Linked DNA regions of Macaca mulatta. The protein of the gene in region 6 binds, or shares a complex with, the protein of the main gene of each other region. Links are inferred from orthologs where the notes say so. Each region holds a gene or a part of one and is shown on either strand. Other genes may lie near its edges.

Region 1 (3,873 bases), on a different chromosome or scaffold from region 6:
TGATCCCAGCACTTTGGGAGGCCTAGGTGGGCGGATGCCGAGGTGGGCGGATCACGAGTTCAGGCGATGGAGACCATCCTGGCTAATATGGTGAAACCCCGTCTCTACTAAAAATACAAAAAATTAGCTGGGCGTGGTGGCAAGCGCCTGTAGTCTCAGCTACGCGGGAGGCTGAGGCAGGGGAATCGCTTGAACCCGGGAGGCGGAGGTTGCAGTGAGCTGAGATAGCGCCATTGCACTCCAGCCTGGACAACAGAGCGAGACTCCGTCTCAAAAATAAATAAATAAATAAATAAATAAATAAATAACCCAGACAGCAAGGAACATTTCCCATATGTGAAGCCTGTGGTACTAGCTACCAATTCCCCAAACGCAACCCCTCTCCCCAACACCTTGGCTCCGGTATATTTTGTAGTACAGGCTCCCAAGAGAAAGAATGCATGAAAGTACTTTGTAAACCATTAAGTGATACAGAAATGTGATATGATAAACAGGCTCAGAGTTCTTACTTTCGTCATAGCTTTGGCTACTTCAAGCAAATTATAGCTCTTTTCTCAAACTACTCCCACCCCTATAATTGATGCCAAAATGTTCTGAAAAGAAACACAGGCAAAATGGTTATCCTAGGGCTAAAAATCCTGATTATACCTACCTTGAGGTTTTTAATCCAGGACCCTACTTCACCACCCGCCTTCTCTGTCACTGTCTCTACAAAGGAAGGACACGAATTAAGACTTCCAAAAGAACAAAATATTTATTTTTTAAATTTAAGAATTATCAGACAGCTAAGTAACGGGAATTGGATCCTCATCGGGGTCTTCTGGCAAGTCGGAAGCACCACCACCCTCTCCTGTAGCTCGATGCTTCTCTAGTTTAGCAATCAATTCTTTCGCTGGATTGAAGACGCCATTGGTCTGCTGGTCACAGACATAGCAGCGCGGGGTGGTGCGGAAATGCTGCAGTGCACAGCTCTCGCAGAAATAATGCCTGCACTTGGTGACAACTGGGTTTTGGAAGCTCTGGCGACAGATGAAACACTTGAATGGTATTTCCTCATCATCGCTTCCCACTTCATAGTTTTCATCCTCATAGACACCATAGCGACCCTCATCAAGCTCACGTTCGATCTGCCACCCATGCTTGTAATCTGAACGGTCATGGAGGAATTTGCAGCTGTCTCCGAAGCCGCAGAAGCCAGTCTCTTTGTAGTCCTTACAGATGTCGGGCTGGTAATCCCAGCGCACCGTGGCACGTAGATGCTCGGGCGCTCGGATGGGGCCCTTCCTCACCATCCCGGAAGAGGCATTGCCCATAGACGTATCCTTGGGCTTCATGTATTTCTGATAATTGTTGATTCCCCGATAGATCTTGTCATCCTCCTTGCCCCTCAGCTCCTCCTGGATCTTCTGGCTGCGCTCAAAGATGGCTTGTGCATCGCGCTCTTTCTCTGTGTCCAGCTCATAGACAGCTGTCGCCCCCATATCCTCTGGTCCCACGGGTTTCGCCGAGCGGGTGGATTTATAAACCACGCCGAGACTCTCGGGCTCATTTTCCTCCTCCTCCTCGCTGCTCAAGTCGCCGTAAGCTGCCTTCTGTTTACCACTGTCACGAGTCTTCTGTATCATTGGATTGTGAGTCGCCCGCTTCTTTTCCGGTCGAACCACAGTGCAGCCTTCGTCGCTACTGCTGCCGCTGTCTCCGGGCTCTGGGTCGCAGGCCGGGCGCTTTCTGCGTCCAGCAGCCCCTTTCCGCCCAGGCTTTTTGAAAAGGAAGGTGCACACCTGATCCGCCGTCTTCCCTGGAGAAAACTGCTCTGCCATTTTAGAGTCCCGAGCTCCGAAACGGCCGTCGCTGCCTGGGTTGCACTTGGCCTCTGCGCGTTACTCCACGTCGCGCGCTCCGCCGGGAGTCGAAGCAAAAGACACTGACGGAAGAGAACTGCGAGAGCGCGAGCGCCAGCCTCTCTTGAGCCCTGGCAGATCCCGTCGCTTCCTCCGGAGCCGTACGTGGCACCGCCCCGCTCGCGGGCGGCCGCGGGGCTTACTGGGAAGGGAGCCGAAGCCCGGTCACCTTTCAAGGACCCAGAAGTAGGGTTTTGGCCTAGATAACGGGGCAGAGATGTGGTTCGAGATTCTCCCCGGACTCGCCGCCATGGGCGTGTGCTTGTTTATTCCAGGACTGGCTACTGCGTACATCCAGAGGTTCACTAACGGGGGCAAGGTAAGGCGGCTTCCTGGGCCCGGGGGCTGACTCCACTGGCTGATTTCTGAAAAGGATGGTGGGCAGAGAGTCCGTCAGCCTGCGGACCCTCTCTCCGAGGCCGGCCCTCTATTTTCTTCCGGTTGCCTAGAAGCCGAGGCTTGCGAAACGAAGCGCGGTAGAAACCACATCCTGCTCTGGTGAAAAACAGCGTTTCTGGGTGTATCAAAGTGGGCCTTAGGGCAGAGTAGCGACGCGGGGGCCGGAAAGGTAGATTAGAAGAGGTGGCTCAAGCCTGAGAATCCCTCACTGCAACCTCCGCCTTCCGGGTTCAAGAGATTCTCCTGGCTGGGCGCGGTGGCTCACGCCTGTAATCCCAGCACTTTGGGAGACCGAGGCGGGCGGATCACCTGAGGTCGGGAGTTCGATACCAGCCTGACCAACATGGGGAAACCCCATCTCTACTAAAAATACAAAATTAGTGGAGCGTGGTGGCGCATGCCTGTGATCCCAGCTACTCGGGAGGCTGAGGCAGGAGAATCGCTTGAACCCAGGAGGCGGAGGTTGCAGTGAGCCGAGATCGCGACACTGCACTCCAGCCTGGGCAACAAGGGCGAAACTCCGTCTCAAAAAAAAAAAAAAAAAAAAAAAAAGATTTTCCTGCCTCACCCTCCTGAGTAGCCGGGACCACGCCCGGCTATTTATTTATTTATTTTGGTAGAGACGGGGTTTCATCATGTTGGCGAGGCTGGTCCCGAACTTCTGACCTCAGGTGATCCACCCGCCTTGACCTCCCAAAGTGCTGGGATTACAGGCGTGAGCCGCCGCTCCCGGCCACCCTTGACTTTTTTATTCCCCACTTTCTCTTGCAAGCGTTTAGGAATTTACTGCAAGGTCTTGTGTTTTACATCAGGATTCATTTTCCCCTCTTAGCCCTTCACATCATCTCTAGAGTACAGAGTATAAATTTATTTACTTTTTGAATTTGTGATTGTCCACGTGTGATCTACAGCTGTTGTTTCTTAGTGTCCCAAAAGGCAACAACTAGATATTTCTTTTTTTTTTCTTTTTTTTAAAAAGGAAAAGAAATTCATGTTGGTTAAAATAGTGTAAGAAGTCACGGTCACCAACTTAATCCTAAAGTGTAGTGGTCTGATTTTATTTAGGAGATTCTGTTCTTGTACTACTAATTTGCATTTTTATTTGAATGATGATTCCATTTCTCTAGAATGTCCCTTCTAAAAATTGTAATATCCATCAACTGGGTCACTCACTTTTATAAACTGCAACAATAATTGTCTCTTATTTGAAGGAAAAAAGGATTGCTCATTTTGGGTATCACTGGAATCTGATGGAAAGAGATAGGCGCATCTCTGGAGTTAATCGTCACTATGTGTCAAAGGTAAGAAGCCACTCTGATGCCAGCCTTCTGCCAGGGTTGAGGTGGGTTCTGGTAATGCCTTGCCAAGGGTCATACAATGCTAATATATAACTAGCATTTTCTTGTCTACTAGTGAGGTTGGCATCTTTTTACATATTTAATCTTTTATGTTTCTTATTTTTTTTAGTTTTTCTTACTGTCATATATTTCTTATTCTGTGGATTGTTGCCTATATCCTTTGCCTGTTCTATTGTTTTGTCTTTTTTCTTTTCAATCTATAGTTCTTTATATAT
Region 2 (4,735 bases), on a different chromosome or scaffold from region 6:
ATGAAAGGAGAAAACAAAACATACATCTGTTAGAGGGTCATCTGCATCAAGGTTGGCAGCAGGAATCTGGTCTAACCGTGGCTTTTTTGACACTGAAGAGGAGGTTGTATGTTCTGAGGGGAAACAAAAATCACTTAACTTAGTAAAACAAATACTGCATTTCTTAAAATGTTTTAGGGACCTGTGGGCACGAGGAGCCCACACTGAAAGCATTATCCACAGTGAAATCACATCCACAGTGCCTGGGCAAATAAGCCTTTGGTAAATATTTGTTATTGTTATCTCTAATGACTTAAGAAAGTATTACAGCTCACATCAATCTGTAAAAGCAAACAAATGGTTAATATTTTCCAGTTGCTACATAAAAGAAAAACTATCAACAACATAATTTTAGAGATAAATGTCTTGGATAGTGTTGGTACCTCGGGTTGGACGATCTCTGTTTTTCTCTCTTGCAGCAGCTCTCTCTCTTTCTTCCAACTCTCTCCTGAAGTCACGGTTACGAACCTCTTCAGGGGCATCCTGAGTAGTTTGTCTAAAGTAGAAACAAACCAGGGCAAAAATGGTACTTAAACACACACACACATACACACACACACGACTGTGGTAATGGAAGACAATTCAGGAATGAGACTTTGTCCTTCAAGCATAAAAAAGGGAAGTAGATAAGATCATAATCTAATCTGAAAGTTACTAACAGCCACTCTTGTGATGTTCCCAATATTTCAAGAAGTCCAAATTCAATCACGCATTTTCCTATAATAAGGCTTTACGTGATTAAAATGTCTTTAATTTTTATTGGTATTATCAACTCAGAACTTAACAGTAATACTTTTAATATATTGACTGGTGCTGATAGTGCATAATCTCTCTGAGGCATTATTATTTCTGTTATTTATTGTTGTATCTACATACGAAAATTTCTGGTTAGTAGGAATTTTGCATTTTAAAACCACAGGGCAGAATTTTAGTGTTAAACATCCTATTGCATTCTAATCCTATGATAATAGATAAGTGACATAACTCGAACATACTACTATATCATGACCATGCCATTTAACAGATTTGGTCTTGTTTTGTGAACAAGAAAAAAAAGAGGCTGGGCGCGGTGGCTCAAGCCTGTAATCCCAGCACTTTGGGAGGCCGAGATGGGCAGATCACAAGGTCAGGAGATCGAGACCATCCTGGCTAACACGGTGAAACCCCGTCTCTACTAAAAAATACAAAAACCTAGCCGGGGCAGGTGGCCGGCGTCTGTAGTCCCAGCTACTCGGGAGGCTGAGGCAGGAGAATGGCGTGAACCCAGGAGGTGGAGCTTGCAGTGGGCTGAGATCCGGCCACTGCACTCCAGTCTGGGCGACAAAGCGAGACTCTGTCTCAACAAAAAAAAAAAAGAAAGAAAAAAAAGAAAGTCTTACTACCTGTATTTTATCTTTGTGTGAGAGGGTAGGTCTCTGCTTGAATACTGCTTTGAAAGTTGGCTCAAATCACCTTCTCCTTTTCCCCTTCCACCTCTTGCAGGTTCAAAGGTTGGCCTGGCTGCTGTTGTCATCTTTTATGCTTTGAAGAAAAATATAATCAAGTTATTTACAACAATACAAACACTCATTTTACAGAGTATTAATATCCATACTAGTGAAATAAATTCTAAAACTCATTCCCCTAAACCTGCTTAATCTTCTTAAACAAAAGTTTTCAGGAAAACAAATTATGAGGCTTAGGCCATACAACGAATAGGGCTTCTCAGGCTTGTCTTAGTACAAAAAATTCTGTCATGAAGATCTGAGTTTGCATCCCTATTCTCCTTCTGACTATATGGGCTTGAGCAAGTCACCTGGCTTAACTTTCTGTCATCCGTGGAATGGAGATATTCCTCATAGGATTACTATAAGAATTATGACACTTGACATGTCAAAAGCCTTGAAAAATACAGTACCACCATGACTAAGTTTTAAAAATTTCCAACTCAACCTTACTCTACCAGACTCTCTAAGGTTTGCATTTTATCTAAACTTCACACAATAGCAAATAGGCTAGTAGAAACAAAAGCTAAAAACAAACAAAAAATATCACTGACAAAGTTACTAAGTGTCTGAGAAAAAAGTTACTAAGGAAAGTGTGTTAAACTTCAATGACAGGTACATAGAAAAAAATTCTTAACCTTTTGTTGAGCCAATTTTCTCCTACAACAGGCATCATATTATAAATCAGATCGTTTGTGGGTTATAACTTAAGGACTGTTCAAAAAAAACAAAAACAAAAACAAAACAGGAACCTCAGCCCCAGAGGATTCTGATGACAAAAATCAGGGACCCATTCCTTAAGTTACTTTCTGCTTGGAGCAGTCACAAGAATACTGCCTAGCAGATGCAGTCATTAAAACCCTGTTAGTGTCGGAAAAGCAAGTGTGTGGGGAGGGTGGGCGAACTGGGAGGATTTTTTTGGGGGGGGGGAGTGCTTTCTCCTAATTTTCAAAAAGAGTAAGAGACATGTATACAAAGAAGAAACGGGGTTATCTGGAGCTGGGAGTCCGCCCCTTCCCACACACTAACGGAATTATCACTCCGGCCTCTCGTGAGCTAGTCTTTGGCTATAACCAGAAACTCGTTGCCCCTTAACCCGTGCCCAGCGCCGCAGGGGTGCGAGGGGTAGTGAAAGGAGGACCTGGGGTTCGCTTTACGCGGTAGGCGCGCTGCCTTTTATGCTGCGATCTCCTCTGCGGCCCGAGAGCTCCGGACGCGCCTGACAGGCACTCCGTTTCGCCCCTAGCCCGCTGCTCTAGGTCCTCCACCGCCCGCACTCTGCACTCTGCCGCCGACTCCGACCCCAACTGCCCTTTCCCGTCCCACCGGGATGAGGAAGATAACCTATCCTCCTGCCGCTCACACTGGCCGAGGTCCGATGCAGCAATCTCCGAAGATCATACAGACGCCATTACGACTCCGGGCTCCCAGAAACCTCTGCGCCCAGGGCTAGCGCCTACGACCCGGAAGCAAAATCCAAGCGCTTCGGAGGCGGAAGCAACGACCAATCCGCAGTGGCCGAAGTGGAAGTCGGCGTAACGGCACTAAGGGGCGGGGCCGAAACGGCCCAGGGGGCGGGCGTTTGAAATCAGTGCCTTAGAGTAGACCCTAAATATCATTTTATACCTTCAAGAACCAATTACTTAATGTCTCTTCCGTCTTTTCCGTCCCCGACCCCCTCCCAGACTCCTTCATTCCGGTACTGCGTGGACGGAAAGCCCCGGGTAGCCGACACCACGTCCCCGGCTAGCGGGAGAGAGCGTGGAAAAGGATTACACCAAACTGTTTAAATCCAACGACTCCTGCTTCCATCCTTTCTCCTGAGCTAGAACCAACAAACCTAGAGAGTTGGGCTTCGGAAAAACTAGTGTTTTCATTTAATTGGATATGAAGAAAGAACAAATATGTACGGGGCAACCACGATCTTTACAAAGGTACATTCCTGCAAAAATATTAACACTTCAAAGCAAAGGTTGTATTCGTAATGTTTGCTAAAATTTTTTATTTAAAAAACGTTAGTTTTAGTGGGAGGGGAGATGTCAATATTTACGACAGCGTTTAGAACGGTGGGCCCAACTGCCAGGAGCACAAGATGTAATTACTAAGATGGCTACTTAAGTGTTAAGTTTTAATAAGAACGAAAAGGAGAAAACCCAAAAACCAAAAACCCACCAATCCTGTCTCCTCCCTTCCATAAAAAAAAATCCTGAGAACAGAGATCTTGATTGTTTAGCTAATCTTAGTATCTCATCACATAGACCTTGACATATAGTAGCTGCTCAATTAATATTTGTTAAACAAATGAAAATTCAACTTCCCCAACTTAGTTTAAAATATAAAGAACTCACAAAGTTGAATATTTAAATGCTTTCTTACCTCTAAATTCTTTGCAACTTTTAAATGAAGAAAGAAAAGCAGAAAAAGCCCTTTCACTCATAGAGTTCAAGATGAAAATCTTGATTTTTCTTACTAAAGGTATCCCTCCTCCAGTCTTACACGTCTCACTAAAGGACACGATCATCATACTAGTTACTCAAACCAAAATCCCAGAGTGCCTACTTAAATTCCTTTTCTTTCACTTTTCACATACGGTTCATTTACAGGTCTTACCAATTCTACTTTTAAAACTTACCCGAAATTTTATTCTACTGCCATTACCCTTGTCCTGGCCAACACCATCTCCTACCTGGATTGTAATTGTTTCCTATTGTATCTTCCTGCGTCATCTTTTATCCTACAGTCAATGCTGCATATAGCCAAGAGAGTGATCTTTTAAAATTAATCAAATGGTGTTACTATCCTGTGTAAAATTTCACTGCAGTTAGGATAAAAATCACATTTCTTAATGTGACCTGAGACGCCACGGAGTCTGGCTCCTGCCTAACTTCCAGACTTCACTTCCAATCAGTCACTCGCTTACACACTAAGCTCTAGACACAGCCAACTGGGCATTTCTGTTTTACGAAACAGGGCAAGATTCCTTCTATTTTAGTGCCTTTGCACTAGCTTTTCTCTGTTGCCTGTGCCCCAAGATAACTGTATCACCATCCTTCATGTCTCAGGTATCACAGTGAAGTTTTCCTACCCCCACCCCTCCAACACTTGTGTTTGTACACCATCACATCACCCTGTTTCATTTTTTCATACCACTGAACATTACCAGAATCTATTCATTTTTTACTTCCGTGTTTCTTGTCTGAGAGACAGCATAG
Region 3 (4,154 bases), on a different chromosome or scaffold from region 6:
TATGTTTTTTCTTCTCTTTTTTCCGACAGGTCAGAATCCGAGTCCAAGAAGCGTAAGCATAGGTAAGAGCTCTTTAACTCATTGGGGGCACAGTGGCATGTAGAGTGGTGATTTCTTTTTCTTGAAGTGAAGCTCAATACCTTGATCTTTCTCCTGTTAACATTCCCTAACTCTTTCCATTTCACTTTTGGTTTTATTTCCTTTTTTAAAAAAGTTACTTTTAACAATCTTTCCTTATTTCTCAGGTCTCCCACTCCAAAGAGCAAACGTAAATCTAAGGACAAAAAGCGAAAGCGGTGAGTGAATTTGTGGGGAATTTGCTTAGAAAGTAAGTGAACACCACCTTAGTGGGAAGGGGTTGAGTCAGTTATGTCCCTAACTGGTAAAAGGTTGAGGGGTAGGTGAGGAAAATCCAGGGCAGGTACAGCAGTACCCTGAGCTGTGGCGGTGGTCTTCCTTCAGGTCTCGAAGTACAACACCAGCCCCCAAGAGCCGCCGGGCCCACCGTTCAACTTCTGCTGACTCTGCTTCCTCCTCTGATACTTCCCGCAGTCGGTAAGGGGTAGTCCAGGAGGAAGGGAGGGAGAGGGAATGATGGGTTAATTAATTTAATATTTATTGAGCGCCCACGGTGTGCTAGGCGCTGCACAGACCATTCGGAAGACACGGTCCCTGCCCTCTAGGAGCTGACAGGCTAAAGCAACAGGATGGACAGACATATACATTTCCCCTTCTCTTTTTTTTTTGTTTTTGTTTATTTGTTATTTTTTGTTTCGTTCTGATGTATATGGACTGCCAGAATAGGGGGGGTGGTGGTTTGTTCGTGGTGTCTGGGGGAGGAAGGAATCCTTACCCTGGCTTCCTTAATCGGGGAAGGCTTCCTGAAGGAGGTGGGCTCAGAGGTGAGTTGTGAATGAAGCGGGTAGGGAGTGGGCTGGGTGGATGGTTTCGGGATGTTTGGGGGAGGTGAGTGAAGGGGTAGAGGGAGAACACTGTTTGGGATTGTGTTGGGAAGAGAAGAACCAAAGTGGACTGTACTTGCATTTCAGTGAATGATTTGAGTTATGCGACTAAGCAGGCTTTTTGGAAGAGGGTTGTACAGTTGGAAAAGGTGGATGGGAGTTGGGGAGGGGGTTTCCTGTTCTCCCTTTGAGCTGATTTCCTTCCTCTCCCCCATCCTCAATTAACTCCTGCAGGTCTCGAAGTGCTGCAGCTAAAACTCATACAACTGCCTTGACTGGGCGAAGTCCTTCCCCTGCTTCAGGGCGACGAGGGGAGGGAGATGCACCTTTCAGTGAACCAGGTACTACCAACACACAACGGCCTAGTAGCCCGGAGCCTGCTACAAAACAGCCTAGCAGCCCTTATGAAGACAAAGATAAAGACAAGAAGGAGGTATGTTACTGAGTTGGTGATGTTCATTGGATTGCAAGTATATAGATTTAGGATAAACTTGTGACATGAAAGGGAGAGGTAGTAACTTACTAAAATAAATTCGGTTATTTTTTTCTGCATTGATCTCCCAGTTTTCTTACTGTATCTGCAGAACTTGTAGCGTTGTTACTAGACTGAATTGTGAACCCTTTAGAATCAAATCTCACTGGATACTAATAGGTTTTATATTGTATCTTGTTTATACACAGAACTGGAAGAAAAGTTGTATTTTGTCTGTGTACGCCGTGTAATGCCTCTAGTTTCTTTTCTTTTTTCATTAAATGCTCGTTGTGTCTCACTAAAACTGTTTAATCCATTGGGGTGCCACCAATAGTTTGAATGAAACACTGGAATAGTCTTCAGTAGTTTTCTAATTTTAAGTGTTAATCATTTCCTCTTGCTTTAGTGATTACAGTGTAAATTCTTGGCCTCTGTCATCAATTTTCCATGTCATCCAGGATTACCTTTCCAAATTACAAGTTGGTTGATCTCAGAAACTTAACTGCTTCCTTATTGCTTTTGAATTACATTTAAGGCTTTTAATAATTTGGTCTTTTTCTCATTTCCTGTACTCTTTCCATCCTGGTCTGCTTTTCTACTCTTCAAACAAATCGTGTTCTCACATCTTTATTCATGTTGTTTCTTTTCCTTTAATAGAGTTATTCTTAAAAGGTGAAGTTGCCATTTGCTTTAGGAAACTGCTTATTTTTCCATTTAAAGATAGTTTTTTCCGCTTTGATAACATTTCGTAGTGGTATTTGTTGTTAAATGTAGTAGTGTGTTAGTTATTTGCGTTTAGTGTTTCTTTCAGTTTTAAGATTCTCAGATTATCCATATCTTCATATGTTTTCCCCACTGTTCTTTATATAATTCTTTGTTATTGAATGAAAGTGATTGCTTATGGTCAGGGGATGTGTAAAAGAAAAGTTATTGGAAAGGGTGTTGGGATCTTAGGAGTGATGTGAAGTCTTGGCGTTTATGAATCCCTATCCCTACTCTCTCTTTCACTCTTAGAAATCTGCAGCTCGACCTAGCCCCTCTCCGGAAAGGAGCAGCACAGGCCCAGAACCACCTGCTCCCACTCCGCTCCTTGCTGAGCGACATGGCGGCTCCCCACAACCACTTGCAACAACCCCCTTAAGCCAGGAGCCAGTGAACCCCCCATCTGAGGCCTCTCCCACTCGGGGCCGTTCACCACCTAAGTCTCCTGAGAAACTTCCCCAGTCTTCTTCCTCAGAGAGCAGCCCACCATCCCCTCAACCTACCAAAGTTTCTCGGCATGCCAGCTCTTCCCCAGAAAGTCCTAAACCTGCTCCAGCTCCGGGGTCCCACCGAGAGATTTCTTCTTCTCCCACATCCAAGAATCGCTCACATGGCCGAGCAAAACGGGATAAATCACATTCTCATACCCCTTCCCGTAGGACGGGGAGGTCCCGTAGCCCTGCCACCGCTAAGAGAGGGCGATCTCGGTCTCGAACCCCTACAAAGAGAGGTCATTCTCGATCCCGATCTCCCCAGTGGCGTAGGTCCAGGTCTGCACAGAGGTGGGGAAGATCTAGAAGCCCCCAGCGACGTGGCCGCTCTAGGTCTCCTCAGCGACCAGGCTGGTCTAGGAGCAGAAATACCCAGAGAAGAGGCAGGTCTAGGTCAGCAAGGCGAGGGAGGTCCCACTCTAGATCCCCAGCCACTCGGGGCAGATCTCGTTCTAGAACACCAGCCCGGCGGGGCAGGTCACGCTCTAGAACACCTGCTAGGCGGAGATCACGATCCAGAACACCCACCAGGCGTAGGTCTCGGTCTAGAACACCAGCCCGGAGGGGCAGGTCTCGGTCTAGAACACCTGCTAGGCGCAGATCTAGGACCCGATCGCCAGTACGACGGAGGTCTCGTAGTAGATCACCAGCCAGGAGAAGTGGCAGGTCACGCTCTAGAACCCCAGCTAGACGTGGCCGCTCACGCTCCAGAACCCCAGCCAGACGTGGCCGCTCACGCTCTAGAACCCCAGCTAGACGCAGTGGTCGCTCACGCTCCAGAACACCAGCCAGGAGAGGGAGGTCTCGATCTAGGACACCAAGACGAGGAAGATCCCGCAGTAGAAGCTTAGTTAGACGTGGAAGATCTCACTCTAGATCACCTCAAAGAAGAGGCAGGTCTGGCTCATCTTCAGACCGGAAAAACAAATCCAGAACATCTCAGAGAAGAAGCAGGTCCAATTCGAGCCCAGAAATGAAGAAATCTCGCATTTCTTCAAGGCGAAGCAGATCTCTGTCTTCACCACGGTCCAAAGCAAAATCTCGTTTGTCTTTGAGGCGCAGCCTTTCAGGATCTTCCCCATGCCCTAAACAAAAGTCACAGACGCCACCCAGGCGCAGTCGCTCTGGATCCTCCCAACCTAAAGCTAAATCTAGAACGCCACCTAGACGCAGTCGCTCCAGTTCTTCTCCGCCACCTAAACAGAAATCTAAAACACCATCAAGACGAAGTCATTCCAGTTCGTCTCCTCATTCTAAAGTGAAATCTGGAACACCACCAAGGCAAGGGTCCATAACAAGTCCCCAGGCCAATGAGCAATCTGTAACGCCACAAAGAAGGAGCTGTTTTGAATCATCACCTGACCCTGAGTTGAAATCTAGGACCCCTTCGAGACATAGTTGCTCAGGGTCCTCTCCTCCTAGAGTGAAATCTAGCACACCTCCCAGACAAAGCCCATCTAGGTCATC
Region 4 (4,864 bases), on a different chromosome or scaffold from region 6:
TCTCAAAGAAAATAGTATCTATTTGGGCATAGGGCATTGCAAAGGTAGTATCCATGCCATAGTAAACTATATGGGTATTCAGGGAGGTAAAGAAAGAAAGGCTTTAAGGGAAAAAATAGGATTACATAATTGTTTTGAGATAATTATCCTTAGGTAGAAGAATTAGTAACAAGGGTGACCAGTTCAACGTTGGACAGGAAAGTTGCTGGGCAGATGGCCATTCAAAAGTATGTTTTGTGCAAGGTTGGGGTTTTTGCAGAATCTTTGTGATAGTTTTCATTATCAGATATTTATGCATGAGAACCCTCTTGTCATGGTTTTCTCCGACTCTGTCCGGGTTTTTTTGTTCTGTTTTTTTAACACAAGTGACTCCAATTAGATTAACAACTTTTGCATTCTCAGGACACTCACAGCCTAAGCCACCTCTCTACCCCTACGTTGTCAAACGCGATGGGAGTGTAGTAAGGCCACCTCCTTCCCTGGTGCTTTGTTCCCTGTAACCACGAGTAGTAATCCATCACACACCTGCTTCCCGAGAATCCTCGAGAAGGAATCGGCCGAAGGGCTTCAGCATCCAGAAAGCCCCGAAAGCGCCACAAACAAGGCTCTTCCTCCGGCTCCCCGGTGCTGCCCCGGGCGCGCGCCATCCACCCGGCTGACAAAAAGCACCAGGACATGACCCCGTCCCCTTTGATTTCTGTCCAGAGGTGGCGGACTCACCTCGGGGCTGGGATAGAGGACGGGTCGGGGTCGCTACGCTTTTTGCAAAAGGGTCAAAAGACTGATGGGGGTGGGTAAGGAGCTGACGCCCGCGCTCTAAAGGGGCGCCCCGCCAGCCATGGGGATCCTGGAGGTGCTTCTGCCTCGACGTCCTCCCAACATGGGTGCTGCCAGACTCCGTTGCGCTCCTGAGTTGCTCCTCACGTCATTCCAGCCGCCCGACATGGGTGCCTCACTTTCGGCTTCTGGGCCACGTCGGGGCGGCGGAGGACCCGGGGGGCCGGGCGGGAGAGTGGGAAAGGTGGGGCGGGAAAGCCGAGAGAGGCCCTCACCCGCCTTCCTGTTGGCGGGGGCGGCAAGTGGGTTTCTTTCTTGCGTTCAGATTTTGCAATAATTTGCAGCTGGACATAGGATATGGGAGACAAGGCTGCTCCTCGCAGTACACCCACCCACGCCCATACCTCCCTCGGCGAAGCGTGTCGCAGCGGGTTCCAGCGCAGGCTAAAGAGCTTCCGCAGCCAGAAAACCGAAAGCGCGCCGCGCACGCGCGCCAAGGAGTTCGGCGACGGCCCCGCCCTTCGCCTGCCTCGTCCCGCCCCTTCCGCGCCTTGTAGGGTGGGGACAGCGCGGCTTCCGCCGGGAGCCTGGAACCGAGCCCGGCAGCCGGGGGCTGGGCGCCAGTACCCACTCCGCCAGCCCCAGCCCGCAGACGGTTCCCTGTCTCCCGCGCCCCAATTTCGATTTTCAGACCCAACTCCTACAGGATTCTGAGACCCCGGCCCATCTCCCCACATTCCATTTCCAGCTGCAAATTACTGCAGAGTCTGAACCCAAGAAAGAAACCCGTTTGCCGTCCCCGCGTCTTCCCTCGCCAGACAGGTGGAGAGTGGGTGAGGGTCTCGCTCGGCTTTCCCCCTGCACCTTTCCCACCCGCCCGCCCGTCCCTGGGGGTCCTCCGTCACGCCGGCCATGGCCCAGAAGCCGAAGTTGGACCCCCACGTCGGGCGTTTGGGATACCTGCAGGCGCTGGTCACGGAATTCCAGGAGACCCAGAGCCAAGGTGAGAGCCACGGTGGGACCAGGTGACAGGGTCGGCTGTGACCGCCGCCCGGACCTGGCTCCAGTGCCGCTTTCCCGTTGCAGACGCCAAGGAGCAAGTCCTCGCCAACCTCGCCAACTTCGCTTATGACCCCAGCAACTACGAGTATCTGCGGCAGCTGCAGGTCCTGGATTTATTTCTCGATTCGCTGTCGGAGGAGAACGAGACCCTGGTGGAGTTTGCTATTGGTAAGGGCTGGGCCCGTTCGCTAGATGGCTAAATGGGCCGGGGTGAGGTAAGTGAGTTACAAGTGAGTCCTTGGGGCCTGGCGTGGTGGCTCACACATGTAATCCCAGCACTTTGGGAAGCCGAGGCGGGGGGATCACCTGAGGTCAGGAGTTCGAGACCAGCCTGGCCAACATGGCAAAACCTCGTCTCTACTAAAAGTACAAAAATTAGCTGGGCATGGTGGCGAGTGCCTGTAATCCCAGCTAAGCGGGAGCAAAAATTAGCCGCACACAGTGGTGTGCACCTGTAGGCCCAGCTACTCTGGAGGCCGAAGCAGGAGGATTGCTTGAGTCCGGGAGGCAGAGGCCAAAGTGAGCTGAGACTGCGCCACTGCACTCCAGCCTGGGCGACGGAGTGAGACCATGTCTCAAAAAAAGATGTTTTAAAAAGAGCAGTTTTGTAGCCAGGCGCGGTGGCACACGCCTGTAATCCCAGCACTTTGGGAGCCCGAGGCAGGCGGATCACCTGAGATCAGGAGTTCGAGACCAGTCTGGCCAACATGATGAAACCCCGTCTCTAACTAAAAATACAAAAATTAGCCGGGCGTGGCGGGCGCCTGTAATCCCAGCTACTCGGGAGGCTGAGGCAGGAGAATCACTTGAACCCGGTAGGCAGAGGTTGCTGTGAGCCGAGATGGCGCCACTGCACCCCAGCCTGGGCAACAGCGAGACTCCGTCTCAAAAAAAAAAACAACAACAATTTCAGGTGGGTGAGGTGGCTCACACCTGTAATGTCAGCACTTTGGGCGGCCGAAGCAGGCAGATCACTTGAGTCCCGGAGTTCAAGACCGGCCTGGCAAAAGCCCATCTCTGCTAAAAAAAAAAAAAAAAAAAAAAAAATTAGTCTGGCGTGGTGTCCCAGCTACTCAGGAGGCTGAGGTGGGAGGATTGCTTGAGCCTGGAGGACGAGGCTGCAGTGAGCTGGGATTGGGCCACTGTACTCCAGCCTGGGTGACAGAACGAGAATCTGTCTTAGAAACAAAAGTAACTCATATTTAGTGTTTTCATATCAGGAGAAGCAGAGATGGCTTGCAGTCTGTAACTTACGGCTTCTTTTGTAGTTATGATCTTAAGACCTATTGATTTATTCACTGGGCAGATATTTACTGGGCATGTACCGTATATGTAAACTACTGCTCTAAATGCTGGAGTATGGTGAACAAGTTAGGGGAAGTGTTTGCCCCTCAGGAGCTTACATTCTAGTAGGGGGGACAGGTGGTTAGCAAACAAAAAAGATGATGCTCAGCAGCAAATAAATGGGGTGATGAGAAACAGCAGTAGAAGGTGGTGGTTACTTCTGTTTTGGCCATCATGAGAAAGGCATTTTAGCAGGGACACAGCATGGGCAAAGGCCTTAAAACAGGAAGGAGCCAGAAGGAAGATGAATGTGGCAGGATCGTTATAGTGAAGTGGAGAATGGCACAAAAAGAGGATAGAGAGTTAAGCAGCACCAGAGCTTGCCGGAGCTTAGATCTAGGCCGTGGGAAATAGTTTGAAGCAGACAAAATTTTGAGAACAAACAAAAATCCCTTTTTCAAGCCATGCACAGTGCTCATCTGTAGCCCCAGATAGGAGGATCGCTTGAGCCCAGGAGTTTGAGGCTGTAGTGTGCTACGATTGCATGATTGCACCTGTAAATAGCCACCGCACTCCAGCCTGGGCAACACGCGCGTGATCACCTGGCTGAAGTCTTGTCAGGCTTCTCCACTGTAAAATTACTCTTTCTTTCCCCTCTTTACGTATTATGTATTATACCCATTGGAAGGAAGTCACTACATAAATTATCTTAAATCTTTTTCTTTTTTTTGAGATAGGGTCTCACTGTGTCACTTAGGCTGGAGTACAGTGGTGTGATCATAGTTCACCATAAATTTAAACTTCTGGGCTCTAGCAGTCTTCCTGCCTTAGCCTCCCGAGTAGCTGTGACTACAGGTGGACACCACCATGCCCGGCTTTTTTTTGTTTTTAATTTGTTTTCGAGAGGATCTCACTGTGTTGCCCAGACTGGTCTCGAACTCGGCTTTTTTTTTTTTTTTTTTTAATTTGTTGTCGACACACGGTCTCACCGTCTTGCCCAGACTGGTCTTGAACTCCTGGCCCCAAGAGATAAATCGCTTGTAACCCTAAACAGACCCTCATTTCATAACACTGATTCTTGAAGGCCCCAACCAGGAATGCAAATGTTCCCCCTTCCGGTTTGTCTCATTGCCTCTTTGTGGTTTGTTTCTTTATCCCCTTTATTTCCTATAATCTAGAAATTGGGTTGAAAGTCTTGATAGGATCAAGTAACACATTTTATTTTATTTTATTTTATTTATTTATTTATTTATTTATTTTTTGAGACGGAGTTCGCTCTGTCGCCCAGGCTGGAGTGCAGTGGCGCGATCTCGGCTCACTGCAAGCTCCGCCTCCCGGGTTCACGCCATTCTCCTGCCTCAGCCTCCCGAGTAGCTGGGACTACAGGCGCCCACAACCGCGCCTGGCTAATTTTTTGTATTTTTAGTAGAGACGGGGTTTCACCGTGGTCTCGATCTCCTGACCTTGTGATCCGCCCGCCTCGGCCTCCCAAAGTGCTGGGATTACAGGCGTGAGCCACCGCGCCCGGCTATTTTATTTTATTTTATTTTTTGAGATGGAGTCTTGCTCTGTCACCCAGGCTGGAATGTGGTGGTGCGATCTCAGCTCACTGCAACCTCTGCCTCCTGGGTTCAAGCAATTCTCCTGCTTCAACCTCCCGAGCAGGTGGGATTACAGGCGCCCGCCACCATGCCTGGCTAATTTTTGTGTTTTTAGTAGAGATGGGGTTTCATCATGTTGG
Region 5 (4,870 bases), on a different chromosome or scaffold from region 6:
AGAAGGCAAAAAGGGTCAAGTCAAAGGGCAAATGACTAAAAATGACAGCACCCTTGGTCTATTTTAAGTCTTGTACTAAACTGGTTATTCATTTCGTTCATATTTAAGAGAAATTACATCCTGGAATCCTTGAGGAATAAGAAATCCACTACAGAAGGTTACAATCAACTAACTGATACTTTAAAATAGTCTATGCTTGTCCCTAATAAAAAATATTTTGACTATTACCCGTAAGTCCTCTGGTAACGTTCAGAATTTCATATATAACAGAATTCATGCTTTAAAACAGTCCCACATTCTAGAGTGAAGAGGTCAAATCAGATCCCAAAGTCTTCTCATAGTCCTTTTGCAGATCTCAATTCCTTTTCCTTTCTTCTCTTTTTTCTTTGAGACAAAGTCTCGCTCTGTCGCCCAGGTCGGAGTGCAGTGGCATGATCTCGGCTCACTGCAGACTCTGCGTCCTGAGTTCCTACGATTCTCATGTCAGCCTCCTGAATAGCTAGGATTACAGGCACTTGCCACCACGCCCGGCTAATTTTTGTATTTTTAGTAAAGATGAGGTTTCACCATTTTGGTCAGGCTGGTCTCAAACTCCTGACCTCAGGTGATCAGCCCACCTTGGCCTCCCAAAGTGCTGGGATTACAGGCATGAGCCACAGTGCCCGGCCAGATCTCATTTCTTAACACAGAAGGTGGTATAGACAGAAGTACACAGTCCAGCCTTACTAAGCATACCCCCTTCCAGTTGTCCGTTGTTTCACCTGCTAAACTTCCACCCATTTTTGATTCAGTACCAAAAATTATGCAGATTCAATTGTTTTATACTTTAACCAGACAACTCAAGGCATATTTTATATAGTTCAGAAAAATGCTGTTATCTGGTAACCAGAAGGCATTATTCATGTGTCTAGGAACACTAACCTCACCTTGCCCTACAGAATCCAACCAGCTTTTCAAACTCTGACTGATACACTCTTAACAATTAGTGGACTGAAAGATACCACACTGACTGACCTTCCTTTTCCTTAGTTTATAATCATTTAATTCTTCTTCATCTGTGATCTTCTGTTGAGGTGGAGGTGGAAGAAGCTCAAGTTCTCTTTCTTTAGCCTCTCTTAAGAGTTGTTCAGCAGTTATCTGTACCTCAGCCGGGGCTTTGTTTTTCACCTTTTAAGAACAAGACATTTCTATTTTTAGTAGATGCTCTTCACACAAGGTTTAAGAAACAAACATACATTTTTTAGGATATGAACTTCATTAGTATTATCACAAGATGCTCTCTTTGTATGACATGTTCCCATCCTCCATGAGACTAAAAAGAAAAAAAAATACTATGTTTTCTCTCTTATTCATGGTATCTACTACAAAGCCACAGGTAAAAGTCTCAAGAGAAAAAGGTGGCAAAAATAATACCAAGTTTTCCCTTTTAGATGAGTATAATAATAAACTTTGAGGCCGTGTAGGTAAAATTCTGACCAGAGGGTTTATCAAGATGTGTAGCACATCTTATTAATAGCATTACCACCTGCATTTGCAGAATTCTTCAACTTATTTAATGCCCCTGGTGGAAAAGTGGGTATGGTTTTTCACGGAACCTCAAGTCAAAGGCACTATTCAATAAGTTCCCATCATTAGACTGTAAGTTTCTTGAGGTCTTAGAAGTTTATAGTCTAACATAGCTTAGAGCTGTGCTGTCCAACACAGTAGCTATGAGTCACATGTGGTGAGCACAAATTGAGGTGGACTGTAAATGTAAAATACACACTGGTTTTGAAGATGAAGTATGAAAAAAAGAACAAACTATCTCACAGTTTTTATACCGATTACATGTTGAAATTATAATATTTTGGATACATTAGTTCAAATAAAATATATATTATCAAAATTAATGTCACTTTTTTTGCTTTGCTTTTACTTTTTATTTTTTTATTTATTTTTTATTTTTTTTGAGACGGAGTCTCGCTCTGTCGCCCAGGCTGGAGTGCAGTGGCGCGATCTCAGCTCACTGCAAGCTCCGCCTCCCGGGTTCACGCCATTCTCCTGCCTCAGCCTCCCGAGTAGCTGGGACTACAGGCGCTGCCACCACGCCCGGCTAGTTTTTTTTTGTATTTTTAGTAGAGACGGGGTTTCACCGTGTTAGCCAGGATGGTCTCGATCTCCTGACCTCGTGATCCGCCCACCTCGGCCTCCCAAAGTGCTGGGATTACAGGCGTGAGCCACCGCGCCCGGCCTGCTTTTACTTTTTAATGTAGATAGGAGAAAATTTAAAATTTCATGTGCCGTGCACTGTATTTCCATTGGACCGGTGATGCCCAATAAAAGTGTACGCAGCTGAATTATAAAAATTGTTATTTAATGCCACGTGTGGAGTAATGATAATGGTGATAGCTCATATTTAATAAGCACTAAGTGCCAGACACACTGTTACTTGCTCTACATGCATTACTTTTGCGAGTCAGACAAATAGTTATGTAAAGGTCCAGTTCAAGAGAGTCATCTGGGCTCAAGAAAGACTGGAGGGAGGATATCTGTAAAGGCTTCAGACAAATTCTGACACATATTAAGCACTTCGTAAGTATCAGCTATCGAGGGAAATACCAGATAGTAAATCTACTGTTTAATTAACTTATGATACTATACTACTACTGCCGTCTATTCTCACCCTCCGCTGTCAGCTGGGCTAACTCCTATTCAGTCTTCAAGTCTCAGCTTAAAGGTCATTTCCTCAGCAAAATTTACTCTCAGGAACCCTTCATACGACCCCCTTATTCACGCCCATGGCATATTCTACTTTGCCTCTCAGTAACATCTGGCAAGATCGTCCTCATACACACACTCGTGTTTTGAGTACTGCTTCTGGCCAGCGTCCGAGCGTAGCTTCCCAGCGCCCAGTGCAGTGCCTGGGTCAGTAAATCTTCACTGAACCACTCCACTCCTCCTCCCTGCAAAACCGCCCCATCGTGCTCCGCGATGACAAGAGCCCGCGCCCCACCACCAGCTGACCCTTCCTCTCCATCTCTCAGGGTGGGCCCTCTCCCCGGCGGGAACACTGTCTCCCGCCCGGGGCACCCCCAGGGCTGAGGGATGCCCCTCTCCTGGGCCACCTCCCACAAGGCCCCTCGCGATCGCCTACCTTGGCCACTTTGGGAATCCGCTGTTTCCCGGCCGCGGTGGAGGCCGCCATGTCTGCAGCAGCGGACCTCGGGGCACCTGTCTCCCGCACGAAAGCTAGAAATCCGCGGTCTGAGAGCTCACCGAAACCACAAAGCTTTCCGACAACAAACAGGATCCCGGAATCGGAAGCGGAACTCGCCAGGCTGACCTTTGACCTCTCGCATGCGCCGTGACGGACGTGGCACCGTTTCCATGGGGACCAGGCTGCGCGTCCTCCTTACAGCAGCGCGCGGAGTGCGGCGTCCTGGAGCTGCGCGTGAGGTGGGTAGCGCCGGCCTGACTAGCAGCGACGCGAGGACTGCGGTTCAGGGCGTCAAGGGCGTATCCCCAGGTCAGCCTCCAGAACTGGGATGACCAGGCAAGGAAGAGAGGCTCTGTCTAGCCGTGGCGCCCTGCAAGGGAGTAGGGTCGAAGCTCCAATCTGGATGCTCGAGGGGCGGGGGAACGAAGGGAGAGCGAGGAAACTACCATTCCCAGTATGCGAAGGGGCGAGCTGCCGCCCTTTTAGGCTGTCTGGCTCTGCATTGCATTCTAGGTCTTGTAGTCTCTGGGTCCACGCCCCCTCGTTTCTGGTTTCTGGACAGTTGTGCCCAAATAATTAACTCTAAGGCTTGGAATTAAAAATAACAGAAGGTACTTAGAAGCCAGATATTAGGACAAAATGAAAGTAAAAAATAGAGTAACTAGAAAACAACTCAGTCTTGTGATAAGAAATATGTTTAAATTCTGTGTGTGCCTTAATTACTCAAATTTTCTTAGCCTCAGTGTCCTCAACTATAAAACAAGGGTAATAACATCTGTTTCACTAGGATTAAAGACAAATTCTCAGTAAATGTAGCTATTATAATACTTAACCTGCCCTCAAAAACGGAAAAATTAAGCAAAAGTTAAAAGAATTTTTTTAATAGACAAATTTTTAGAGAAGTTTTAGGTTCACAACAAAATTAAGTGGAAGGCACAGAGATTTCCCCCCTCAACAGCTTCCTGCCATCAATTATTATACCTCTTCCCCACTTTAACAGCCTCCAACTCTCAAAAATATCCTCCACCAGAGCGGTACATTTGTTACAATCATGAACCTACATTGACACATCATTATCACTCAAAGTTCGTAGTTCATGTTGGGGTTCACTCTTGGTGCTGTACATTCTATGAGTTTGGACAAATGTACAATGACACGACTTGGCAGCACATTTGTTAGAATAATTTTCATAGTTGCAAGGCTCTTTTGGTTTTTGGGGAAAATATATATTGTGTATGTAGTAATATCACGTCTACCAATGCAGCTATTGCTTTCAAAAAAAGATTTATGCAGATTTCTAGAACTGCAGTTATAACCAACATCAGTATTTTTGCCATAACTCTTTATTAACCATATTATTTAGATATTTGATCTCACTTTTCAAAATTTAAATAGAGAAGATTTTATATCACTTTCATAAAGCCACCTAACAAAATAAAATATATTAAAAAGATGTTTCTTTGAAATGATTTTCCTTAAATGTGTAACTGTAAACAATTGATTTGCCAAATGAATCATTGATTTAATCATCTGTTGCCTTTGCTCAAACGTACAAACATGTTAGAATACTTTGCTTCTGATCACCATCCTTTTATCTCTCATTTTTGTTGTCTGGCAATTCAGTTCATCTCTCTTTTTTTTTTTAAGGAAAAATGTATTATCCTTCTTACTTTT
Region 6 (3,339 bases):
GTTCAAGACCAACCTAGCCAACATAGCAAGACCCATCTCTTATTTTTAAAAACTAAAATTAAAAAACCCACAACCTTCCAATGGCTCCTCAGAGGTTCATATATTGTCCTACAAGGCTCTACTCGTTTCCCCCTCCATTACCTGTCCCTCTACTTTTCCCCTGGCTCACCCCCTCCAGCCATGCTTGCCTCTTTGCAGGTCCTCCAATAAACCATACATACTCCCAGTGTTAGTACCATTGCACTGGCAGTTCCCTCTTCATGGAAAGCAATTTCTCCAGTTTTCCGCATGGCTATTTCCCTCATTTCCCTAAAGTCTTTGCTCAAATGTCACCATCTCAGTAACTTGTGTATCATATTTAAGATTATGGCCCTACCAACTACTCCCACCCACACCACGTACATTGTTCTCCCCTCCCCGCAGCATCTTCTAACATTTACTTATTACGTCTACAGTGTTTGACCTCCTTTCTCCACCACCAGCATAATGTAAGCCTCAAGAACATGGGAAAATGCCTGTCACATAGAGCTCAACAAATATTTGTTGAATATAGAAAGGATGAACTCACTTGCCAGCTTGTCATTTCTGGAGACATGGCCACAAATTCCCAAGAAAAAGAAAGGATGCATTTTAAAGAGGCTAAGGAGGACAATGACAGCAAAGACTGCAAAGACTTTTAAAACGGGAGAAAAAGAAAATGGGATACAATAACTACAAACTTCAATACTGAAGGCATTGTGGGCCTGAAAATAACGCTCTTGGGAGAAGTGGCAGTCGGGGAATTAATTATAATGGTAGACAGGGTGGATTTAAGTACCTGATCATGGACACTGGCATGCACTCCCTCCCCCGACCCATTTCCCGCTCGGGTCTTTCAGGAGCCCTCCACCCTAACACAGGAAGTTCACACCAAGAGACTTAATGATTTCTAAACTTTATGGAAAAAGCCAATGACAATCAATTAGCCAAAAATGAGACGCCAAATCCCATCTCATTCCAGCGCCACGCCCTCTTCTCAAACGCTTGCCGGCTCTAGGCCCTCTTCACCAGCACAGTTCTCAGGAGTTCTGCTGGTCTCCCAGTGCTATTCCAAAGGGTTCACATGAAGGCAGGTCAGGCGGGATTCCCCGGGCAAGCACTTCTGTACGCGGAAGTACCAGACGCAGGAGCCATGGAGAGCCGGTCCTTTGGAGGCAGAAATAGTCGAAGGGATTGGCCAACCTGAGGAACACTGGGAGAGGTGCCCCGCACAGTGGTGGTAAGGCAGAGTCTCAGTTCTCCTCGGGCTTGTCGGCTGGCGGTCCACAAGGCTGAAGCATCTTCTCCATCAAATTGAAGCGGACTCGCGCTTTGCTCTCATTCTCTGCAATGGCGAAGTAGTTGAGAAGGTCGAAGTGGCCCATGTAGGAGCAGTACGAGTCGCGGTGTTGGTTCACCAGCCACTCCCACTTGGTGGTGTCGGCGTGGCCCGTGCCGATGTACTTGGACTGCAGGTGCTCCAGCTGGCTGTGGATGGTGTAGCGGTCCGTCATCTCGCCGCTTTCCCCTTAGTTCCCAGGACAGAGGACGCAGACAACAAACCGCCGCTCTGGCGTTTCACGCGGGAGTGAGGCCACCGTGCGGAAGCTCCAGGCCCGCGCCGTCGCAGAAGAATGGCGTCACGACGACTAAGTAGCGTAAGTCTCGCTCATAGGGCTCAAAGGCGGAAGCGGAAGCACATTCTGTCACGGAATTGGAGTTGCCGAGGCGACGCCACAAGTGTGTCGCCCCTGTAGAGAGCCCCGCCCCGTCAGAGAGCGTTGCATGATGGTCCACTTGGTGGCTATGGGAAGCCCTTTTCCAACAGGGAGCCTTGCATGCTGGGACTTGTGGTCTTGGGAGTTCGTGCTCGTAGTCTTCTGGAACTCCTGGTCTCGTTTTGTTGTTTGAGACAGAGACTCGCACTGTTGCCGGGACTGCAGTGTAATGGCGCGATCTCGATTCACTGCAACTTAACGCCTCCTGGGTTCACGCGATTCTCCTGCCTCAGCCTCTCCAGTAGCTGGGATTACAGGCGCACACCACCACGCCAGGCCAATTTTTTTTTTTTTTTTTTTTTTTGTATTTTTAGTAGAGATGGGGTTTCACTGTCTTTGCCTGGCTGATCTCGAACTCCTGATTTCGTGATCCTCCCTCCTCGGTCTTCCAAAATTCTGGGATTACAGGCGTGAGCCACTGCGCCAGGCCCCTGGTCGCGTTTTAAAAGTGATCTGGGGACCTAGTGGAGGGTGATGTCTGGGAGGTGGGGAGCATCCGTGGGTGGCTTGGGGCTGATGGGAAATGGGAAACCCAAGTAGGACTGGACTACAAGCAGCCCCGAAAATAAACTCTCCGTGTTTTCCAAAGCTATCATGGTAGCACAGCCATCCCTTCACAACCAGGGATGGATTACCCAGAAGTCGGCAGGCACAAGTTCTGGTCCCAGCTATGTCTTTTAGGAGTCTGTGGCATAAAAGAGTTATTTCAGCTCTAACCAGGGTGCTTGGTGAGCAAGTACAGCACCAATTCCCACACATTCCGGCTTCCACCTCAAGCTCCTCCTTCCCCTCTAGCCACTTATTTTGATATCCTTCCTCCAAGGCCTCACTGCACCCTACTTGGCCCTTCCATTCAGTGGGTTTTGTGGATTCAACCGACCCGATTGAAAATATTTGGGGAAAAAGTCAGTCTGTACTGAAGTGTAGACTTTTTAAGGTTATTATTCCCTAAACAATACAGTATAACAACTATTTACATAGCATTTACATTGTATTAGGTATTGTTAAATAATCTGGAGACAAACTATACAGGAGAATGTGCATATGTGCAAATACAAGCCATTTTATATCAGGGACTTGAGCATCCTCTAGTTTTGGTATCCATGGGAGTCCTGGAACAAATCACTCACGGATACTGAGGGACAACTGTACTTCTCCGTGTTACCTGTTGTGCCCGTCCCCATTTTCTTGTACAAGCTGTTCCCTCTACGTGGAATGTCTGTTCCCTTGGTGAATACATCTCCCAAAAAGGCAGCTCAAATGCATCTCCTTAGAGTTTTCTCTGGCTGCTCCAGACAGATGTAAACTCTCCTTCCTCTTTGTAGGTTATACATCTCTTCCTTGTTATCGCTTTATATCCTACTGTTTGGTTTAATAACTTCCTTACATGGGTAGAAGCTACTTGAAAAAAAAAATCCAAAACAAAAATTTGATAAATGGTTAAATAACTCTATTACAACGGAAGGGAAGGAAAACTTTACTAGGAGAGAGATAACTTGAAAATTATTTTATTCTGCTGTTTAAACTTTGTTGGGTCAGGTTC
Region 7 (3,657 bases), on a different chromosome or scaffold from region 6:
TCTTTGTCCTAGTTGAGACGTATTTTCTCCAAGGCCCTGTGGAGACCCTCGGTACTCCTCTTAGACTCCTCTACTGATGTATCTAGGAAGCACTGGTGTCGCAGAAAACACTAGGTTTCCTGGGCAGCAGACCATGTTGGGGCTTCAGGGCAGAGCTTCACTCAGACGCTGTGGGTTGAGAATGGCACGGGTGCACACCAGTGGGTCTCTAGCACCAGCTCTGTCAGACCCATGGGGGTTGTTCAGTGAATGGTGGTGGACAGCCAAACGGATGCTGAGAGCTATCTTGGAAGACTAGAATTAAGGCCCTAGTTTGATATCCCACTTATTCTTGGCTCAGGAATCTAATTTCTTTACTACAGTAAATTTTCTCGGGCTTTTTGGTGATGGTTTGGACAGCTCTTTTAACCTGCTGTTGTACTTGTCACTTGTGCTGATTAAGGCAGTTGGGATTTTCACAGAGGTAGTGTCAAGGGGAGCTTCTGAATTCCCTTAGGTAAATGGTTGCCCTTCCAACAAAATTAGACCTCGCTTCAGTAATTTATTTTCTATTTCCCAGGTGGCTGACCCAGTTGTCACGTTTTGTGAGACGGTGGTGGAAACATCCTCCCTCAAGTGCTTTGCTGAAACTCCTAATAAGAAGTAAGCTGGGAGCACAGTGTCCCCGGGACTGCAGCCTCCAGGACACTCTCTCTCCTTTATCTTCCACCTCCACCCCCACCATGAGCACTGTGCACAGAGACCCCTACATCTCAGAATGGGGGGTGCTTACAATACTTGAGTTTCACTCCAGCCCTCTCAGCCCTTCTGCCTTTGAACGCAATGCCATGGGATTATTCACCTTGGATATTCCCAAGAGGAGTTTCATAACTGCCACTTCACCTCTATAAAATAACTATCTTAAAAGTTTACTCCAGGCCGGGCGCGGTGGCTCAAGCCTGTAATCCCAGCACTTTGGGAGGCCGAGACGGGCGGATCACGAGGTCAGGAGATCGAGACCATCCTGGCTAACACAATGAAACCCCGTCTCTACTAAAAATACAAAAAAATTAGCCGGGCGAGGTGGCGGGCGCCTGTAGTCCCAGCTACTCGGGAGGCTGAGGCAGGAGAATGGCGTGAACCCGGGAGGCGGAGCTTGCAGTGAGCCGAGATAGCGCCACTGCACTCCAGCCTGGGCGACAGAGCGAGACTCCGTCTCAAAAAAAAAAAAAAGTTTACTCCAAACCTTACTCGCTTTTTGGTTTTTGGGTTTTTTTTTTTTTGACACAGGCTGGAGTGCAGCCTCGACTTGCTGGGCTGAAGCAGTCCAGCAGCTAGGACTGTGGGTATACACCATGCCATCTGTTAATTTTTTTATTTTTTGTTGTCCAGTCTGGTCTTGGACTCTTGGGCCCAAGTGTTCCCCCCACCTTGGCCTCCCAAAATGCCGGGATTACAGGCGTGAGCCACTACGCCCAGCTGTTTGTTTTTAAGAGGCAGTGTGTTGCTGTATCACCCAGATTGGAGTGCTGTGGTGTGAGCCATAGCTCACTGCAGCCTCAAATTCCTGGGTTTAAGTGATCCTCCTGCCTTGGCCTCCCAAAGTGCTGGGATTATAGGTCTGAGCCACCACACTTGGCCCCCGTGGCTTTCACCGATATTACTTCCTCAACTGTCCATCTTGTTACCCTTTTCTTAGGAATGCCTCTTCTGCTGTTCTGTTAGCCGTCCTTACCACCCATTTCCATTCTGACCAGGAACAAGATCACCATGATTGCTGAGCCTCTTGAGAAGGGCCTGGCAGAGGACATAGAGAATGAGGTGGTCCAGATTACATGGAACAGGTGAGAGGAGGGCTCTGACACCAGGATCGAAAGGAGGCAGGGATGCCGCAGCTTACCTGCCGGGTCTCTAAGAGCACACATCTTTCTGGGAAGCATTTATGTCTTTGCCGTTGCTCTTGTTCTGGGCACAGTGGGTAGGATGAGGTGACTGTCTTCCAGGAAGGGAGGGTCTATGGCTCCAGGACCAGCAATCACAGAGCTGGCCGACAGCTCCATTGTCCCCCTCCTTTCCCCAGGAAGAAGCTGGGAGAGTTCTTCCAGACCAAGTACGATTGGGATCTACTAGCTGCCCGTTCCATCTGGGCTTTTGGCCCTGATGCGACTGGCCCCAACATTCTGGTGGATGATACTCTGCCCTCTGAGGTACAGCAGAACTGATGGGAGCCGGGTGGCAGTCTCTTACCTCTGGAGTGGAAGAAACTACAAAGTGTTCTTTTCCCAAGAGTATCTTGTGTCCTCTGATGAAGGACAGTATCCCCTTACAGGCACATCTATCTTCTCCCTCTAAACGCTTCAGCTGTTGTCAGGGTGACTGCTAAGGAGGCCTCATGTTTCTCTGTAGGTGGACAAGGCTCTTCTTGGCTCAGTGAAGGATAGCATCGTTCAAGGTTTCCAGTGGGGAACAAGGGAGGGCCCCCTCTGTGATGAATGTAAGTCCACCAGCACTCCCCCACCCCAGTCCTCGAGGGTCCTTGCAGCCAGGCATATGAGTGGGATGGGCTCACCATCTTTAGGACCCGGCAGGAGAAGCAGCTTGGGGTACACAGGACCATCCCGTGTCCTGGGCCAGCTTCTTCCCTTCTTCCTTATCCTGGTGGTGTAGCCTGGAAATTTAAGTCATTTCTAAACTGTCATTTGCTCCTCATTTCTGAGAAGGGTTTGGCCTTGGACATATTTGAGAAGAGATACCAAGAGGATGATGAGATTGGAGTGGTTAATAGACCTTGATTGGGCTTCGTGCACCAAATGTACAATTCTGGAATTCTACATCCACAAAAATGTAAATATGTGCAGAAGAAAGAAATAAACTTCTAGGAAAGCTCTATGTCTGAGCATGGCCTGAAGCAAACACTAAGAACCTATGCTTAACTTCTGACCTCTGCCATGGGCCTTGCTTATTCAGTTAGAACGCCCACCTCCCATGTGATTTTTGTATCATGTCTTTCATGACTGCAAGACAGCTGCAGTGTTGCAGGAGACTGCTACTCCACCATGGCCCTGTGACAGGCCCAGAACCTCTCCCCAGTCACTGCCTCCACCTCCTTTACAGTGATTCGGAACGTCAAGTTTAAGATCCTGGATGCAGTGGTTGCCCAGGAGCCCCTACACCGGGGTGGGGGCCAGATCATCCCCACAGCCAGGCGAGTCGTCTACTCTGCCTTCCTCATGGTAAGAGAATGGGGCTGTAGGAGACCATCTGCTTCGCTGGACTGTGGACTAAGTGAAGGAACAAGTGGGACTATAGGCCCTCAGCCTTCCCTAAGCTGAGGGACCTTTCTTCTTGCTCTGCTGCAGGCTACTCCTCGTCTGATGGAGCCTTACTACTTTGTAGAGGTCCAGGCCCCTGCAGATTGCGTCTCTGCAGTTTATACTGTCCTGGCCAGGCGCAGGTGAGCAGCCCCAGCCCCAGGCATATTAGGAAGAGTGCTGAGAGCAAGAGCAGAACAAGAGTCACCTCGGCTCCTGCAGGGAGGAGAGATTGGCCTCCCCTACCCTCCTCACTCTGGAAACCCTGTGAGCTGATTTTCTAGAAAGAAGTAGGAACAGAGGGAGGCAAGCCCCAGCTTTTCTGCAGATTAAAATTTGACATTTCTCCATCCTGGCTAACAAGGTG

What was found.
Region 1: SF3B5 (region 6) and RNF113A share a complex: the UniProt entries of both Homo sapiens proteins name them as parts of the minor spliceosome. The link is inferred for Macaca mulatta from reciprocal best matches to the Homo sapiens genes SF3B5 and RNF113A.
Region 2: SF3B5 (region 6) and CWC15 share a complex: the UniProt entries of both Homo sapiens proteins name them as parts of the minor spliceosome. The link is inferred for Macaca mulatta from reciprocal best matches to the Homo sapiens genes SF3B5 and CWC15.
Region 3: SF3B5 (region 6) and SRRM2 share a complex: the UniProt entries of both Homo sapiens proteins name them as parts of the minor spliceosome. The link is inferred for Macaca mulatta from reciprocal best matches to the Homo sapiens genes SF3B5 and SRRM2.
Region 4: SF3B5 (region 6) and ARMC7 share a complex: the UniProt entries of both Homo sapiens proteins name them as parts of the minor spliceosome. The link is inferred for Macaca mulatta from reciprocal best matches to the Homo sapiens genes SF3B5 and ARMC7.
Region 5: SF3B5 (region 6) and CRNKL1 share a complex: the UniProt entries of both Homo sapiens proteins name them as parts of the minor spliceosome. The link is inferred for Macaca mulatta from reciprocal best matches to the Homo sapiens genes SF3B5 and CRNKL1.
Region 7: SF3B5 (region 6) and EFTUD2 share a complex: the UniProt entries of both Homo sapiens proteins name them as parts of the minor spliceosome. The link is inferred for Macaca mulatta from reciprocal best matches to the Homo sapiens genes SF3B5 and EFTUD2.

Annotation. Positions count from the first base shown.
Region 1 is NC_133426.1:126,364,621-126,368,493, forward strand, and holds RNF113A (E3 ubiquitin-protein ligase RNF113A), read right to left. Parts: upstream 2,036-3,873; 5' UTR 1,821-2,035; coding exon 786-1,820; 3' UTR 679-785; downstream 1-678. UniProt on the Homo sapiens protein: Required for pre-mRNA splicing as component of the spliceosome. As a component of the minor spliceosome, involved in the splicing of U12-type introns in pre-mRNAs. E3 ubiquitin-protein ligase that catalyzes the transfer of ubiquitin onto target proteins.
Region 2 is NC_133419.1:95,762,557-95,767,291, forward strand, and holds the start of CWC15 (spliceosome-associated protein CWC15 homolog), read right to left. Parts: upstream 2,980-4,735; 5' UTR 2,887-2,979; exon of another isoform or gene 2,868-2,886; intron 1,561-2,867; 5' UTR 1,553-1,560; coding exon 1,422-1,552; intron 536-1,421; coding exon 423-535; intron 114-422; coding exon 25-113; intron 1-24. UniProt on the Homo sapiens protein: Involved in pre-mRNA splicing as component of the spliceosome. Component of the PRP19-CDC5L complex that forms an integral part of the spliceosome and is required for activating pre-mRNA splicing.
Region 3 is NC_133425.1:4,055,973-4,060,126, reverse strand, and holds part of SRRM2 (serine/arginine repetitive matrix protein 2), read left to right. Parts: intron 1-29; coding exon 30-62; intron 63-245; coding exon 246-296; intron 297-462; coding exon 463-555; intron 556-1,196; coding exon 1,197-1,395; intron 1,396-2,448; coding exon 2,449-4,154. UniProt on the Homo sapiens protein: Required for pre-mRNA splicing as component of the spliceosome. As a component of the minor spliceosome, involved in the splicing of U12-type introns in pre-mRNAs.
Region 4 is NC_133421.1:84,791,016-84,795,879, forward strand, and holds the start of ARMC7 (armadillo repeat-containing protein 7), read left to right. Parts: upstream 1-1,616; 5' UTR 1,617-1,689; coding exon 1,690-1,780; intron 1,781-1,863; coding exon 1,864-2,007; coding exon of another isoform or gene 2,008-2,039; exon of another isoform or gene 2,040-2,411; intron 2,412-2,712; exon of another isoform or gene 2,713-2,746; intron 2,747-4,864. UniProt on the Homo sapiens protein: As a component of the minor spliceosome, involved in the splicing of U12-type introns in pre-mRNAs.
Region 5 is NC_133415.1:63,971,391-63,976,260, reverse strand, and holds the start of CRNKL1 (crooked neck-like protein 1), read right to left. Parts: upstream 3,320-4,870; 5' UTR 3,185-3,319; coding exon 3,134-3,184; intron 1,168-3,133; coding exon 1,015-1,167; intron 1-1,014. UniProt on the Homo sapiens protein: Involved in pre-mRNA splicing process. As a component of the minor spliceosome, involved in the splicing of U12-type introns in pre-mRNAs.
Region 6 is NC_133409.1:49,347,804-49,351,142, forward strand, and holds SF3B5 (splicing factor 3B subunit 5), read right to left. Parts: upstream 1,634-3,339; 5' UTR 1,533-1,633; coding exon 1,272-1,532; 3' UTR 941-1,271; downstream 1-940. UniProt on the Homo sapiens protein: Component of the 17S U2 SnRNP complex of the spliceosome, a large ribonucleoprotein complex that removes introns from transcribed pre-mRNAs.
Region 7 is NC_133421.1:69,231,875-69,235,531, reverse strand, and holds part of EFTUD2 (116 kDa U5 small nuclear ribonucleoprotein component), read left to right. Parts: intron 1-559; coding exon 560-642; intron 643-1,736; coding exon 1,737-1,823; intron 1,824-2,059; coding exon 2,060-2,186; intron 2,187-2,385; coding exon 2,386-2,473; intron 2,474-3,093; coding exon 3,094-3,212; intron 3,213-3,338; coding exon 3,339-3,433; intron 3,434-3,657. UniProt on the Homo sapiens protein: Required for pre-mRNA splicing as component of the spliceosome, including pre-catalytic, catalytic and post-catalytic spliceosomal complexes. Component of the U5 snRNP and the U4/U6-U5 tri-snRNP complex, a building block of the spliceosome.